Drosophila melanogaster: one gene and its partner. The protein of the gene in region 1 purifies or fractionates together with the protein of each later gene. This does not show direct contact. Each region holds a gene or a part of one and is shown on either strand. Other genes may lie near its edges. The genes, in order: Atu and muc.

Region 1 (4,950 bases):
GCAAACATCTCGTGTGTAAAAATGGCTAACATGAGTGGCCAATGCCCACTTGAAAATATCCCCCGCCATCGCGGTTCAGCGGACAGCTAATTGCGCGGGCTAAGTGCTCCTCCTATCGACCAAACAAATATGGGCCATTTGGGTGCTGCTGACTTTCGGCCAATAAATAATGGATATTTGAAGGTCGCTACTTGGTGATGGCGAAAAATTTACTAAAAGACACCTCTATATTTTGATCAAATTTAAACGAATGCTATAAACTATATAAAGAGAAAAGAAAATTTTAAAATAACTTCCAAATAGTACGTATTTTACGTACTTTTTTGTTTTTAGATTTGCTGCTCTTTGGATTTATCCATCCACATTGAATGAAATCTAATTTAAGTAGCGTTACAGAAACCGTCTCTAATCACTTCCCAGAAATCGAAACTATCTGGTTCTACAGTCACATCGAAGCGCCGACAAAATAGCAAAAGAGACCCAAAACAACAAAAAAAAAAACAAAAAAACTGCACAACAGCTTATTTCCCATTTAGCAACTAATCCTTCCAAATAATCCACCAAACGACTCCTACAACAATTCGTAATAAAAAGACTGAAGTTTGGGTACGCAAACCTCATATGTCGTCACTTGGCCTTTTTGTATAAATAAATAATAGAGTAATTCTAAATTTGCAAGATGCTTAACTAAGCAAAGTCGAATTCAGCGCGTGAAAATTGAAAATTACTTTTATTGGTGTAATCAAGGAACGCACTTGAACTAGCTTAATCGTTGTTAATCGTTGTCACTGCCCGATCCGCTGCCGGAACCACTGCCACTGCCGCTTCCACTGGCAGACTTGCTGCTGCCGCCGCCGCTCTTCTGGCTGCCCTCGTTTTCGCTACCACTAGCGCTGCCCCCTTCTCCGCCGCTCTTGTTGCTGTGGCCGCTCTTGGCGCTGCCGGCGTCCGATTCGCTGTCGGAGTCGCGCAGTGCCTTGCTGGCCTTGGCCTTGTCCACCTTCTTGCTGCGACGCGCCTCGAAGTCGGAGCCCTCGTCTTCGTCCGACGAGTAGATCGTAGATGCCTTAACCTCCGCCTGGCCGGCACCAGAGCCCTTCTTATACCGGTTCTTGATGGCACTCAGGCTGATGGCGTTCTCATCGTCGCTGCCTTCGTCGTGCTGGTAAGACGAAGTGCCGCCTCCAATCAGTGGTTCGCCCGCGCCTGGTTTCTTTTTCTTGGGCAGCGACTTGTGCTGATTGCGCATCGCCTGGCGCAGCTTGGCCTCCTCCTCCCTGAGCTGCGTTGGCCTATCCGTGGTGGGATCCTTGCCCACCTGCGTAAGAATCTTAATGCCACTGGTCTTGCTGGATCGATCGGCCAGCGACATGGTCATCTTCTTGTGCGTAAAGGACTCCGTGGAATGAGGACGGAAAGTGAGCTTGGTCCTGAAGACCGACTGGCCCTGCAGACCCGTTCCTTGGCGGACGAACAGATGATTGTGGTCACCTAACAGCGGCTGCCTGTAGGCGTCGAAGATCTCGTTGCCCAGGTGAAGGGACATGCTGCCGTCGGACCAGCGCACGAATCGCGCATTAGACTCGCGCACCATGTCGCCCTTATTGTTCATGTACTCTCGCCATCGGATAGTGTTGCTCACTTTGAGCTTGATACGCTGTCTGCCCTCCTCGTCCATTGTCTCCTCTTCGTCGATCTCGTCTTCGTAGGTTTCCGGATCAAACGGATGCGTGACCACTGACAAAAAGTTGGGAAGCTTGATAAAGTGCTGCTCTTTTCCCAGGTCTGCAGAGATGCGCGGAATCTCCACATCGATTCGGGTCTCCGGAAGCGGTTCAGGCTCATCCTCCTTGGGCGCCGATTCTACTTGGCTCTCGACTTTATCCCGGGATCGCGATCTGGAGCGGGAACGCGAGTGGCTCATAGAACGACTGTGGGAGTGGGACTTGCTTTGACTGCGGCTCTTGGAGCGCACTGGGGATTTTCTGGCAGCTGGTCCAGCCTCATCCTCATCGTCACTTATATCATCGGCATCTCCAAATATGTCAGCTGCAGCCGGAGCTTTCTTTCCCTGCATAATTGAAATGTACATATATCAGGGTAATTTTTCCTTAATTATAGAACTAGATAAATAACAATATAGTTGAGTAGTTCAGAGTGGTGTGCCTTACCACATCCTGATTGGAATCGCTATCAGTGTCGATCAGCCGTGACTTCTTAGCTTTGGTGGGCGATTCCTCAATGTCGCTATCGCTGCCGCTCTTTTTCTTCTCTTGATCGGAGCCACTCGCCTTGCGTGCCTTCTTCTTGGGCACACCCACATCGCTGCCGGAGCCGGATGCGCTGCCACTACGACTTCTATTGGGCGACGGCGTGCCCGTCTTGGAACGCGATCTGGAAGTGCGACTGCCACTCCTGCTCCTACTTCTGCTGCGACTGCCGCTCTTGGAATTGGCACGCTCTACGTCAATTTGCAGATTGGGCGAATTAGACCGCGATTCCTCGTTGCCCTTGAGTGAACCGCTATGAGACCTCGATCGAGACTCAGAGCGGTCACTTTGTGCCGAACCAGATTTGCGACTCCGAGCGGATCCCGATCTGCGACTGTGGGCCGAACCGGATCTGCGGCTGTGAGTAGATCCCGATTTGCGACTTTGGGGAGAACCAGATCTACGACTCTGAGGCGATCCTGACTTGCGACTTTGCAACGAACCTGATCTGTGACTTTGTGGAGATTCCGGAGTTCCAGATTTACGGCTACGCGCAGATCCCGACCTGCGACTGTGAGCAGATCTTGATCTCTTACTACGAGCGGAGCCAGACAGCTGCGAGTGGCGGCTTTCTGCAGACCCGGACCTGGCACTACGCGGAGACCCAGAGCCGGACCGGGATCGGGAAGACCTGGAGCCCGATCGGGAACGATCGCTGCCACTACCCGACCTGCGACTGCGTTGGGATCTGGAAAACGAGGGGAAGGTAATCAGCACTCTCCCGCCGCCGTGTTTGAATATCAAATAGTTACCCGGGCGCACTACCTCCTTGCGGCGTGACACTGCGGCTTCCACTTCGACTCGAACCGGATGAACCTACATACATATGTGAACAGTGTAAATATTAGTTACTCAGGCCTGGACTTAGCCATTAGCCACTCACCACTGTCGTCGTCCGAGTTTTGGCTGCCCATAATGCCAAGTAAATTTTGTTTAAAATCGGAAAATCTGCAATCAAGACAATTCGCGGCCGGGCAATAAAGTTGAGTTTAGGAGGTCTAGGCACTGTCACAGTAATCGATAACTGAAATACGCAAAGAGGTCTTCGCATAGACGCCCCAGATGGCAGCCCAATAACTGTTTTTGTCTATCGATTAAAAGTAAACAACTATTTTACCAATCGCAAAGGCGAATAAAATTGTTGTCTTTAAAGAAAACAATTCGAATATTCTTTGAAATATACAGTAATCAATGCACCAAACCCTCTCGTTGCAAACTAACTACTATCGATACCAACGCTGTCTCGATAGCAGATTTTTACATCCCTAATTCTTGTGTGTTTGTATTCGTGACAGCCACAAAGTTTTTTGCGGAACATTTTTTGTGTACAATTTAAAGCCATTTCGGGCGCTAAAGAATTGTTTACTGCCCCTCGATAGTGGATCGTAAGGACCCGGCTCCATTAAGTTCGAGTGCATTTGCGGGTCGGCGGCGTAAAAGACGCGCAAATCTAGCAGGGAATTTGCCCAATTCGCTGCTTCGGGTGAAATTTCAATGAACTGAGAAAACAAAGACAGACACACACACAAACACACGCACAGGGTCACAGACACAGTGCTTGTGCAGCAGTGTAGTAAGAAGCAGAGACAACAGCGCAATAGCGAGCGATTATTTACTTACAAATAAAATACAAAACGGAAACATTAACAAAAAGCGAGAGCCCTGGCCAATCCAATCGGCCGAGTGTAACGTGCGCGACATTTGCATAAGCGTGAATATAGAAACTACAGTGGTCGCAAGAGCGGCGCAGAAAAAACGGACAACTTTTAGCCTCCGCCAGGCATCAACATCCTTCGACTCTCCTCTCCTCTCTCTCTCTCTCTCGCTCGCTGTCTCTTCGGCACGAAGACCACGCTGCATACAGACGAGGCACATATACATATGCACACACGCACAGCGGTATATATGCCATTTATTTAGGGACGACTCGGCGCGGAAAAGTACTAACTAACCTCGTTCCCGCTCCTACACCCGCTACGGTTCCAGCTCCCGTTTCTCCGTTGCATCCTTTCAGCTTCCAGCGAGTGAGTGCTAGTGACCGAGACACCCACAGCTAACCAACAGCTGCCCAGTGGGAGTTAGCGGACTTTCATATTCCTGCTGATTCGCCGATCCGTGATCCGTCACAGTTACGGTTACGGCGCCAGGACAACGACTCCTACGTCCTCGTCCCGCCGGCCGCTTTGGAATGTTAAATGCGGTGAGAACGATTCGATCAGTGTATGTTGTTGTTGCTGGACAGAGTGGAAAGCGAGCGTTAACAGTGGAAGAACAAGAAGCGACAGTATCGTCTAACGTTAATTTAGGTAAGTTGCGCGCATTCCTCCTTTCGGATCCGTCGTTCTTATTTTGTACTTGCTGAATCGCCCGAGGTTAAATGGTTGGTTAAACACTTGTCCCCAGAGTTAACGCTAGCCATTGAATTTTGTTGTAAGCGCGGTCGCCAGTGTTGGGAAGCGTCTGTTAGGTCAGCTGATAAAGTTACATGCGTGCAGGTAAAACATCAATTTAATCGACAGCTCCCGTATTCCAGGAAGATTTGCTCCTTTCAAATTAAATGCACTGGCATCCTGTGCTAGTATATCTTGCATTCCAGGCGAGTTCAGCGCACGTTGAAGTTTCGATAAGATAAAGCCGGTCTTTACCATAGGAAGGGTTATTTACATATTATGGTACTAGC
Region 2 (5,866 bases), on another chromosome or scaffold:
ACTTTTATTGCGTCTTCTTTGGCTTTCATTTCCTTTGCTTGTCTCTTTACAGCGTTTCAAATATAGAATATCAAGGGTCTGCCGAACGAAACGCAAGGAAAAGAGAATTTGCTGAATGAAATGTAATAATTCGCTGACGGATGACGTCACGTCCTATGTGGTCATTAGCACTCCAGTGGCGCAACCAGGGGGCCAATACTACGCTCCGAAATAGTTGGTAAAACCTTTGACAATCAAACCAAATTAATTCACAATTTTCAGCACTTGAAGAATGGAAGACAACAAAGTGAAAAAACCCGCAAGTTGAATCTAGATACGCCCCTGGTTCCAGTTTTCTGCTCTCATATGACTAATTTTGGCATTGTTATTGCATAAAATTCGCATGGCGTCATCATCATCAACGCGTACAACTACCAAGCTCGCAAAGATCGTTAACCCCAAAGCGACGGAGACCTAATACCAGGCACAAGGTCGACTCCCGTGACCCCCTCCCCAGAAGGGGGTCGCCATTCGCTGATGCAGTTTTGTTGCCATGCGGCGGCCAAACATCTGTCTCAGAACTGCAAATGCTGAAAAAAAAACCTGACTGGGCTTGGCTTGGACTGGCCTGGCTCTTCATCTTCAACTCCAGCCACCACAGTTCCTACTCGTTATATGTGATGATGTTCCCCCGACTGTAAAGTCTCCTACCTTGCGCGCTAATCAGTGACCGGGGCTGGTTTTTTATATACAGTCAGGTACCTGAAGTAGCGCGCGTGGTGGCAGACATATATCTCCATCTTCACCATATAAATAAGCGAAATGCTCGCAGGCGAGTCCTCGCCAGAAATCCCATGTGTATCAACTGTCTCCCATGTCTATTGTACTTCATCAGGTGCTCTGGTGTGTCTCGTAACCCGGCACATGTTGAAGTACACTCAATATGAGGCGATTTGCATACGAAAGCGACCGATACAAGTGTTCAACAAATTGCCTAATTTAAAGATGAGTAAAATATAAAAGTACTCTTTTTATTAAGTTTTTCTTAAAAATAAAATTATGGCTTCTTAAAACTGTGTTACTTTACTTTAATTGGAATCATATCTTTCACAAAGGGAACAACAAAAAATGATTATTGTTATAATCATTATATTTAATTTAATGAAACGAAAAAACATCTGTTAATGTGACTAGAAAAAATTTCAATAATATATTGTCTGATTTATTCAGTCGTCCAGTTTTGTATTTTTTTCCATGCGAGCTCCTCAAATTTCCAAACAGGTTGTGGGCTTTGGTATAAAAATAGATTGTTTATGCTCCGGAATAAATAATAACAAACCGTCCATCATCTATAATGACATTTTATTTGCGTATATAATTTCAGAGAATATTCTACATAAGAAAGTATTAATTGAATGAACTACATATACATATTTAGATAGACAAAAACATTCTTAAAATATGAGCTATTTATATATAAGCATTTTCGTAATTAGTGAATAGTGTGCATGGTGCATAACAAACTATCGAATGTCTACAAGCACGAGTAAAGTGTGACCAGACGCCTCACCGCACTCATTCCCATGCACCATTTTGTAAAAAAGCCAAATTTCCAATTGGAAAATTAAAACATCTTTTTAATATCGTTGCTTTAAAAAAAATCAATTGAATTTAAAACGGAAATGAAAATAAGAATTCAGCAAAAGATTTCGAGGTAACTAACAACAACTTCATAAATTGCTGGGTCATATGAAAAAATATCACAAAGGAGAATCTCCTTTCAAAACACTGTGATACCTCTGTCAAACATTTCGTGTACGTTTTTTGAAAATAAATTCGCTGAACCGCTAAAAAAAGTGATGGTATGTTTCGGTATATTGAATACCGCTTGCACATTTTTTGGCGTTCCGTCTGCGTTCACACTGACCTCCGTAAGGTTATCGGCATAATTTTGTAAATTTTCGACTTTGCCGTTTTTCGACTCGATTCGTTAGTCAAAATTCCGAAAGACGCGCCGCCGTTAGATCCACTTCATCAACGCGCGTTGCCACAACAGGACTTGGATTAGGATTCCCCAGGCAGACCAACGATAAAGGACGAATATGCTGCGCTCCCTTGCAACAACACGAAACGAACTTGGGGCCCTTCGCTCCGTGCTCCTGCGATCGAATAACGCCACCTATGTCCGCCGATCGACGGGAAATGTGGTTGTGCGCGCCCTCAGCAGCCAGCTGATCAACTCCCGGAAACTCCAGAGCATCAGGTAAAAATCTCCCAATTTCCCCAATTCTCCCCGCTTTCGTTGAGGTTAGAAATGGTTGTGTAATATTGCAAAATGCGTATACTGCAGCGGGATTATGTGGGACCTGTGGGGGGCGATGATTGACAGTCCCGTGTCCAACTATTTAGCATATATGTCGTATTCCCCAAAAACACTCTCACACATACCCATGCGATTTGCGTGTGTTGTGCGTGCTCCACTGCTGATTTGGTTTATGGCCAAGGTCGAATACACGCTCTCCTATATCGCATGATGCGTGATAGTGTTTCGGCTGGCTGATAAGCTAGAAAATTCCGTCTAATGATTTAATGGGTCACTCTTTTTGGGTTCCATTGTTTACATCTGACGAGTGGGCGATTGAACGCCTAAATGTGTAGATAGTACAGGAGTGTGGGTACGTAAACAACAACAAACTAACAGCTGATCGAGCGTCCATAAATTAACCCATCCAAAATGCTTTCATTAACATGGTCATTTTGTAATTATAACAGGTCATACAAAATGTACACCGTTACGAATCAGAAGGAAAAATAGTTTCCAAGGATTCTGTATACCCATATTGCAAGTAATACACCTATACTATTTATTCAATATTATGTTTTCTAATAGTGGATACAACCCAATGCAACCAACTTTAATAAACTAGTTTTGTTTGAATATCGCGCAGGTCGAAACTTAACACTAGCCAGTCACCGGTCACATGGAGCTACAACTTCGCCCGTGCCTATGCCAACCTTCCGGAACACATCAGGGTGCCACTGCCCGCACTTTCCCCGACTATGGAGCGCGGATCGATTGTCAGCTGGGAGAAGAAGGAGGGCGATAAGCTCAACGAAGGTACGTGTGATAGTTACCAAAATATCCGAGTTTCAGGATCAAATTTATGACACCCTGATTGCAGGTGACTTGCTGTGCGAGATTGAGACGGATAAGGCCACCATGGGCTTTGAGACGCCCGAGGAGGGCTTTCTGGCTAAGATTCTCATCCAGGGCGGCACCAAGGACGTTCCCGTTGGCCAGCTGCTGTGCATTATCGTGCCGGACCAAGGCAGCGTAGCTGCTTTCGCGAACTTCAAGGACGACGGTGCCGCCGCAGCACCAGCTGCTCCGGCAGCAGCTCCAGCTCCAGCACCGGCAGCAGCAGCAGCTCCGCCACCACCACCACCACCCGCCGCAGCTCCAGCAGCCGCTGCGCCTCCACCAGCTCCCGCCGCTGCTCCAGCTGCAGCAGGTACGGGCCGTGTATATGCCAGTCCCATGGCCAAGCGACTAGCCGAGGCACAACAGCTGCGTCTACAAGGTTGTTTAATCCTAACTAATGCCTCTCTTACACACATCCTGTTCCATTTCGCAATGCATGCATCACCTGACTAACATCCATCATAATCATTCGTTACAGATAACAAAACCTCCCATATACACTATCCAACCGTACAGCTTTTCATATAGCGCCCTTTGTCCAATTGTTCCGTTACTAATCCGCGGCTTTTGTGTGCAGGCAAGGGCAGTGGAGTCCATGGCTCAATTAAATCTGGTGATCTTGCAGGCCAGAAAGCAGCAGCCAAGCCAGCTGCTGCGGCACCTGCCAAGGCCCCCAGGGCAGCTGGAGCGCGCTACGAGGACATTCCGGTGACCAACATGCGCGCAGTGATTGCCAAACGTCTGCTGGAGTCCAAGACACAACTGCCTCACTACTACGTCACCGTGCAATGCCAAGTGGATAAGGTGGGTTATCACGAACAGATATACTTCTTAATTCAAATTTAATTTAAATGAAATTTTTACAGCTGCTGAAGTTCCGCGCGAAGGTGAACAAGAAGTACGAGAAGCAGGGTGCCCGCGTCTCTGTAAACGACTTCATTATCAAGGCCGTGGCCATTGCCAGTCTTAAGGTTCCCGAAGCGAACTCCGCCTGGATGGACACAGTAATTCGCAAGTACGACGACGTCGATGTTTCGGTTGCTGTCTCCACAGACAAGGGTCTGATTACCCCGATTGTTTTCAATGCCGACCGCAAGGGTGTCCTGGAGATCTCTAAGGATGTCAAGGCGCTGGCAGCCAAGGCGCGCGACAACAAACTTCAGCCCCACGAATTCCAGGGTGGCACCATCTCGGTTTCTAATCTGGGCATGTTCGGTATGGGAAATACAGTTATATAAAGCCTGGTCCAAATTTGGTAATTAATATGTTATCCTACCACAGGTGTGAACCAGTTTGCCGCTGTCATCAACCCTCCTCAATCGTGCATCCTTGCCATTGGCACCACAACGAAACAGTTGGTTGCTGATCCCGACAGTCTCAAGGGGTAAGTTTCAAATAAGGAGAATAGTACACTAACTAATATAATCTTTTTTTCTATGCAGCTTCAAGGAGGTCAACATGCTGACGGTCACCCTGAGTGCTGATCATCGTGTTGTGGATGGTGCTGTTGCTGCCAGGTGGCTGCAGCACTTCCGCGACTACATGGAGGATCCTTCCAATATGGTATTGTAAGCGGACAGAAACGACCCATCACATTTAGAGACTCCAACGAAAACAAAAAAAGGATAACAAATTTAGCATCCTCTCTTTAAGCGAGGAGTTTCAATCGACATGCAATATGTGGATATGTGGTTTCTAATCGGTGTCACATATGTAAAGTTTTAAATTGGATTTAACTCATCGGTCGCCTATATATATATATATATAGAAATTAAATTGTGTAATTATTGATGTAGTTATTGATGGTCACCGTCGTTGCCATGATTGTAGAAGAGTACACAAAATACTTGAATGATATTCGAATTAACCCACTCACCGAGCTGTAAATTTCCGTTTGATATGCAAAACGTTTTTTATGCTTTGTTCGCATATGTTGATCATGATCGAGTATGAAAATGGAAGTAGTTGAAAGTCCAAAGACGCGTTAAATAAACCCAAAACACTCACATGAACTAGCCAATTCTTAAATAAAATTGACTTTTATTTTAATTATAGTGTGTTTCAGCCTAAATTCAAACCACGATGCCTCCAAATTTAAAACATTATCTGATGGGTGTTGCATATATCAACTTTTAAGCTTTCTAGACAGTAGCTAGAGTAACAAAACTCTATTCAGCTCAAATTTAATGCTCTCAACACCCAGTCGAAAAATAATATACATTGCTTTTCCGTGGTTTATAGTATTATGTAACTAGTTTATTGCCAAAATGTTACGAACTAAGCAAACACATATTGAAAGTATTTACAAGCATAAAGTTAAGCTAATGTCAATGTAGGATGCGAATGTCAGTGTAGTATTGAAATGGGGCCAATCACCACTGGGCAGGGCCAAGCTGGCTCCACTCCTCCACATACTGGGCCTGCTGCTCCAGAGCGGGGAACCACTCGACGCCACCGTAGTCGATCGCGGGCAGAGTACCCTTGTAGTTGGCGGGCAGGACGGAGGGGTCGAGGAACTTCTGCAACGACTTCATGTCACTGCCGTGGAAGTGCATCTGTTGGAAGAAAATTATTCAATGATATATTGTTATTAATATTCATTTAAAAGGAGGGGGAAATCAGTTATGTCTAATTAATATGGTTTATATAACTTGGTTATAATTGTAAGAATCAGGTATTTTACGT

Evidence for each region.
Region 2: the proteins of Atu (region 1) and muc purify together in Drosophila melanogaster (affinity purification with mass spectrometry, with the first as the bait; one large-scale study listed by BioGRID). This does not show direct contact.

The regions. Positions count from the first base shown.
Region 1 is NT_033777.3:5,611,696-5,616,645, reverse strand, and holds Atu (another transcription unit), read right to left. Parts: upstream 3,289-4,950; 5' UTR 3,185-3,288; coding exon 3,154-3,184; exon of another isoform or gene 3,087-3,153; coding exon 3,023-3,086; exon of another isoform or gene 2,959-3,022; coding exon 2,172-2,958; exon of another isoform or gene 2,072-2,171; coding exon 776-2,071; 3' UTR 707-775; downstream 1-706.
Region 2 is NT_033779.5:7,425,120-7,430,985, forward strand, and holds muc (midline uncoordinated), read left to right. Parts: upstream 1-1,746; 5' UTR 1,747-2,081; coding exon 2,082-2,242; intron 2,243-2,608; exon of another isoform or gene 2,609-2,654; intron 2,655-2,751; exon of another isoform or gene 2,752-2,825; intron 2,826-2,927; coding exon 2,928-3,097; intron 3,098-3,161; coding exon 3,162-3,560; intron 3,561-3,758; coding exon 3,759-3,985; intron 3,986-4,047; coding exon 4,048-4,396; intron 4,397-4,462; coding exon 4,463-4,565; intron 4,566-4,623; coding exon 4,624-4,753; 3' UTR 4,754-5,210; downstream 5,211-5,866. Other genes in the region: CG5958 (uncharacterized protein), read right to left, coding at 5,554-5,736.